Xenopus tropicalis: one gene and its partner. The protein of the gene in region 1 interacts with the protein of each later gene in a pairwise test. Links are inferred from orthologs where the notes say so. Each region holds a gene or a part of one and is shown in the gene's direction. Other genes may lie near its edges.

Evidence for each region.
Region 2: the proteins of tk1 (region 1) and erg28 interact in a two-hybrid assay, tested with the Homo sapiens proteins (2 studies listed by BioGRID and IntAct). The link is inferred for Xenopus tropicalis from reciprocal best matches to the Homo sapiens genes TK1 and ERG28.

The regions. Positions count from the first base shown.
Region 1 is NC_030686.2:26,190,028-26,192,962, forward strand, and holds the end of tk1 (thymidine kinase, cytosolic), read left to right. Parts: intron 1-376; coding exon 377-470; intron 471-553; coding exon 554-643; intron 644-736; coding exon 737-856; intron 857-2,042; coding exon 2,043-2,237; 3' UTR 2,238-2,382; downstream 2,383-2,935. UniProt on the Homo sapiens protein: Cell-cycle-regulated enzyme of importance in nucleotide metabolism. Catalyzes the first enzymatic step in the salvage pathway converting thymidine into thymidine monophosphate.
Region 2 is NC_030684.2:82,404,810-82,408,567, reverse strand, and holds the start of erg28 (probable ergosterol biosynthetic protein 28 precursor), read left to right. Parts: upstream 1-1,374; coding exon 1,375-1,507; intron 1,508-3,106; coding exon 3,107-3,197; intron 3,198-3,758.

The DNA.
Region 1 (2,935 bases):
AGAGTATGGTTTATATGTTTTTGGCAAATAACACTTTTTGGGAATTCACAGAAGTGTAGTTACCTTAAAATATGAGTTAAAGTGGAGCAAAATTAATTTACCCCACAAAATCATCTAAATACAAATTAACAAAAGTAGACGGTACTGTTTTATTGATTAAAATGGAGTCGATGGAAGATGGCCTTCCCCTAATTTAAAGCTTTTTGGAGAAAGGGTTTCCAGCTAATGCATTCCATAACTGTACTACTTTTACAGAGGACTTCAGTGCTTCTTTGTTCCAAACCATGTAGAGTATTTTTACATTGCTGTGCCCATCCTTTTTAAAGCAACTGTTAAGTATAGAGATTGAGATGTTAATGCTTGTTTGTCCTTGCAGGAACACAATGGCAGCTGTATCTGCCTGCCAGTTGCGTGATGTTTCCGCTGAAGCTTTGGCCTGTTCTGTTATAGGAATAGATGAAGGACAGTTTGTGAGTATTTCCTGATTTAACTTTAAAGTTCGTTCTTCACCTGACTTCTGATGACCGATAATAAAACTTCTGTTCTCATTCAGTTCCCTGACATTGTAGATTTTTGTGAGGAAATGGCAAATCGTGGAAAGACTATGATTGTAGCAGCTCTGGATGGCACATTTCAGAGGAAGGTTAGTTGTAGTTACAAGTATAAGAATGCAATGTGTTGTGCTTTTTACATGGGTTTTAAGTGGCCCTTACCACCTTTTTGTGCACATTTTTAGGCATTTGGAAACATCTTGAATTTGGTGCCTTTGGCAGAAAGTGTTGTAAAACTCAACTCTGTTTGCATGGAGTGTTATCGGGAGGCTGCATACACCAAGCGGCTAGGGGCAGAAAAGGAGGTATGTAAATAGTCTTCTGGAGGTATTATTTATGTCCTTGTCTGCATGTGAGCTATTTGTGCATCAAAAAATGCCAGCTACGTTTTCTATAGACAGATAGCAAAATTATTGCAAATATTTTGCTTCACAGGTAAATCCAATAAATTGCATTATTTCTGTTATGTTATTGTACTTTAAATACAGGTAATGTGCAAATAATTTTTTCCTTGTACTTAATTTCATACACACAAATGGTGTGGCCATATTGCTTAATTTGGTTTAGATATATTCATAGGGGCATATTTATTATAGAGTATAAACCAACATCACCGGTGATGTTGCCCATAGCAACCAATCAAATCTTTGCTTTTATTTGCTAACTTGTAGGTGACCATCCAAATTGAATTGCTGATCGGTTGCTATAGGGAACATCGCCAGTAATGTTGCCTTACACACTGTAATATGCCCCTACTGTATATTCTCATGTTAATCTTCAATTGATGTGGGTTTTGTAATGGCCATTGAGGCAGGAGGTAAAAGAATTAATGTTAATTTTAATTAGGCCAAATTTCAGCTAGTGTCCTGTAGGTTATGAGCCTGCAGACCAGAAAGGGATTTAAAATGCAGGTCCCTATATAGGCATTTTCCACATTCATTCCTTCCTTCCCTCCCACTCTTAAATTATGTCCTTTACAGTTTCATTGTAACCTCATTTTTTTTATTCTATCACAGTGAGTGGGTGAAGCTGCGTAATTTCCTTTTGTTGCTATATGATAAAATGGCAGTTTTAGTTTGAGTCTTAAGTTGTATCCATTCTAAAAGCCCTCAGTAATCCTGATGCTGCCTCCTTTATTTGCCACAATAGTTTTGCATATTACGAGCTAAAAAGAAAAATATATATTAGGGGCCAGTGACATGTGGCAGTCGGGCAGATTTGGATGGAAAAAATTGGCCGGCACTTTGGGTGTGGGTTGTCATTGCCCAGCCACAGCCTGTGGAGCCTGGCTCCACAAAAGCTAGCCTCATCATTGGTGGCATAATGTTTATGGGCTGGTTTGGGTTGGGACAGGTGTCTTAAAAGCCTCTTTTCAACCTCAGACTGGGTAAGGCCTAGGTTGAGAAGGCTGCAGGTTATGGTGTGTGCAGGTCCCCATCTCATAGAATCAGATTTAATTTTTTTTTTCTCCTTTTTCTGCATTGTGTGCAGGTGGAAGTTATTGGAGGAGCTGAAAAATATCACTCAGTCTGCAGACTTTGCTTCTTCAAAAACCAGCAGCTCCCGGTAGAGAAGGAGAATGTGCTTTCTCATAATGCACTAGACACCATTTCCTTAAAGCTTAGTAACAAGCTGCAAACAGCTTGTTCCCCACGCAAGCCACTTGCACAACGACAATGCTTGTAATGGACTGTACAGCTAACTTACTGTATTGCTTAATGTGTATAATGTATGTTTTTTTTAAGACTTATTTTAATTTTTTTTGTATATGTTTTACGTGCATATCTGTATTTACATTAATATTGGCTTCTAAATGGAGATCTTGCTCTTTTGTGCTGTCTTGTTATTTATTTAAATGTCCCTAAAAGCTTAAGGTCCCCATACACGCTGATATCCCCACCTACGGTGGGGCCAAACGATCAAATTATACTGGCGGCAAGGGGCAGTCTGTTCGGGGACCGCATCAACGAGCCGATGCGGCCCCCGATCCGACGGAATTTTCTAACCTGGCCGATCGAGATCTGGCCAATTTCAGGCCAGATATCGGTCGGCTAGGACCCTCGTTTCTGCCCCTACACGGGCAGATAAGCTGCAGAATCGGTCTAAGGGACTGATATCGGCAGCTACAATCTGCCCGTGTATGGGGACCTTTAGTGTAAGAAAGGAAACGACAATGTGTAGTAAATGTTCTTACCTCTTTCTTATCTTGAATTGAACTAAACCCCTGTAAGATGTGACGGATTGCCAAAATACATTCTACAAGTTTGATGTGGTTGTATAGGTCAAAAATCATGTGTTAAAATGCATGAAAGATTTGTCATCTGACACAACATGCCTGTTGGAAGATCAGATGGAGATCCTGACCCAAAAATCTGATCAAAATC
Region 2 (3,758 bases), on another chromosome or scaffold:
TAGAATTATTTTTTTTTTTTGGTTAAGCTACATTTGAATTTTTAAATTGATGAAACTTTAAAATAACACCTGTCTTAAATCAATACACTGACAATTTTCTTTTAAGTAAGGAAACATTTCATTCTAGGGCTCCCATATGTGCCTGTTCCTGTTTCTACTAGGAAATGATGCTCTCAATGATCAAGATGTCACTTAATACAAGTTAATAATTGGAATAGTTTTCTATAACCAGTTGGCAATATTAAATATTCAGAGGGAAATAACTGGACACTTTAATATTTCGAGCAGGGTTTTCTGGATGTCTCATTTAAAATTATGGCCATAGTTAATCATTAATACACCCTTTGAGAGTGAGTGGTTGGTTTAAAATTCTTTGCATTGAGGGTCCAAGGTCTTCTGTTGCTGCATATCTCCAGCAGGTAAACCTCAGATTTGTAAGAAACCATTTTTATTTGCATTTCTTAATAACATTTATTGCTCTCCACCAAAAAATGTAAATAACTTTGGATATATGTATTCATTTTATGATGTTGCTTTATATAGCAAGTACAAATAAAATATACAGTACATTGTCTGTAACTGTCTACTGTATTTTCTATACAAAGCTCAAATCCCATAGTTTTTTAGACAGCCAAGTATTATTATTATTACCACATATTGATATGGCCTCAATGTATTTTGCAGATTTACATACAAAGAAACTAAGAACTGAGAGAGTTTTTTTCAGTAAACATAAATCTGACCATGCAAGTAAAAATATCCTTGTTTGGTAAGATTTCCTGGTTGGCAACTCCAGAATAAGTTGGCGGCTTACTGGCCCATGTATCAGGCCAAGCCAGTGGTCTGCCCTGCCACTTGCTGGGGAATTGGGCAGATATCAAACCCATTGTACAAGGCCCACATAGATACCAGGCTGCAGAGAACAGTGAAATATTAAAATCCAACCTGTGCCTGACAGAAACCTACAAATGCACAGGCTGCAGCCTCAACCCACCTGACCTGTGGTTCCTGTCAATACTGGGCCAGCCCACGCATCGCTGCTGCAAGGGGTCTAGTGTGGTTTGTTTTTTTAATGCAGTTACTAAAATATGCTTCTAGCCCTTTTTTTGCCATACCCTGGAAGGACACCCATTTCTGATCTTATTATGATAGCAAGTCAAGATGTACATAAAGCTGTTGCAGTTAGAGGGTCTAAGCAGGTAAAAATGTTTGTTGAAGGTCTGGTGCAGACCAATTTAAGTTGAATACAGAAGCCAGTCTTTTTAAAAATACTAATAAATGTTTAAATTCTTCCTTCCAGGGGTACCAGCATTGGTTCGCATTGTTTTAAAAAAAATTCAGCTTTTGCGATATATTAAACATTTTGTGCCAAAAATGAGCCGATTCTTGGCTGTGTTAAGAAGCTGGCTCATGATGGTCTCCATTATCGCAGCTGGGAACACATTCCAGAGCTTTAGAGACCACAGTTTCCTGAGTGACAAGCTTTATACCGCTAGCCCTAACCTGGGTAGGTATGAACATTTATGCAGCCCTGCCTATTAAACTTTGCGCTTGTCGACCTACTCAGCTAACTTTATACCAGGTTTTCCTCCAGCATAAAACACATGCAGCCAATCCCTGGTTGGTAAACTGAATTTCTACTGAAGCTTTTTACCCAGAGGTAACATATAAGCGTTCTAATAACAAGTAAGGGTGTACAAACAAGGTATATGATAGCCCAGGCCACTACATTATGAATGTAAAAGGCTCGAAGGAAAGTTTGGTTCCAGATGTTGTTTACCTCCTTATTCACACCTTTCCACACATTCCTGTTTTTGGAGGAAGTTCAGTCCAGTCATTGTAGCCCACTAATGAGGAATTCATTATATGGCCATACCATACCTTATAACCATTTACAGTGATATCAGGGTACCAAAAAAAATTTTTGTTACTTTCTAAAGTGGGCTCAAATTATTATTAAATACAGGTGCAGGGTCTGTTTTTGATAATGCTTGGGACATGGGGTTTTCTGAATAAGGGATTATCCTGTATTTTACAGTGCAGTACTATTACTACTAGAATGGGAATTATTTCCCATCAACATGGATTGTTGCTTCATTAGTTAACATCAAATAAAAGGTCTTGTGTTTAATCTTTCTGCATATAGCAATGGCACATTTACGCAGTCCTCTACAGAGATGGTTAATCATTTATGCCAGTCCCTTCCTAATATAGCTTACAATCTAAATTCCCTAACACATGGGCCAGGGTTTATGTTTTTTTAGGTACAAATTAGCCTGCCTGAGTTTGGGAAAAAAACAAGAGACACGGGAAATAGGCAAGTGCCTTAGAGATAGTACTAACGTTGGAATGTATCTCAAGTCAGCCTGTTTTAGCCTGTATATGGCCATCATTAAGGAACAGCTTTCTGAAAAGACCTTATTTCACTCCTAAGCCAGCTCTTCCTAGGATGCTAAAGCATGGCATCTCTTCCCAGCATGCAAGCTATCTAAGGGATGCTGGTGGGCTTCCTTGCATGAGCTGCCTCCTTTAGGTCCTCAACATTTCCTCACATGGTCTATAGCAAACTAACAGGTAGTAATGGCAGTTTTTTTGTTTTTCGTTTGGATAGTAGTGGCAACTCTGCCACGCACACCATTGTTATTTAGTGTTCTCCTGATGGTGAATTCATGAACACTAACATTTACTAAAGGAGAGAGGCCTTAGATGTCTAATCCTCTGTGTGGATTTTGTCCAGATCAAGAATTTATAGCCTGTATTTGATATTAAAGGGTAATGATATGCTTTTACAAATATGGTAAAATAATAGACTGCGGTGTCATAAATATGTGTAGTAGGTTGTTCAAAACTAATTGCTAACTGCAACTGACAACTGCTCTTATGCAATTTAGCACTTACGTTCATAAATCATCTCTGTTTTATTTTCAAAACGATTCTATTCTTTTAGGTCTTAACATCTATGGTATATCATGTATGATAAGTTTTTAGTTGAGCAAATTCCCTTTTAAGTAACATGGGTTTTTAAGATTCGCATTATGACAACCAGTGAACAATGTTTTTCTATCTTTTATTAATTACTTGCTTTATTTCTCCACCTCTCAACCAGTAAATGGTCTCCAAGCTCGTACTTTTGGGGTGTGGACACTGCTTTCCTCTGTTATCCGATGTGCATGTGCAGTGGATATCCGGAACAAGACGTACGCACTCTTAGAATGCATTTTTATAAGACCATAAGTATTTGTTGAACATCAAAAATACCCACATACTCTGGCTTTTCCCTCAGTTTCAGTCTGGTGCTTAGTGCGCAAGGAGGGATCGCTAACCCTTCACTTCTGTGCATACAAACACAAAAAATGTATCAGCACAATGTGGCAATTCAAAGCAGGGATACCCCTTCCGTGTTCCGTGGTTTCCTTTCTCTTTTTATTATCTACACAACTCTCCCCTTGAATTTTTTTCATCCTTTTTACACATGCACTAAATAAACATGCAGGGGGAATCCCTGATTTGAATTGCCACATGCAGGGGGAATCCCTGATGTGCCAGCACATTTTTTTGTACTTTGTAGTGACTCTTCTGACTTGCTTGCTTTTCCATTTCTTTTGCCATTCTTACCTTCCATTCTGCCAGATTCCTAATAACAATCAAGGAGTTTGTATGTTCTCCCTGTGTCTCAGTGGATTTCTTCAAGTTACTCCAGTTTTCTTCATACTTCAAAGTATGAAGACATGTTGGCTTGTGAGTCAAATAGTGTGTGT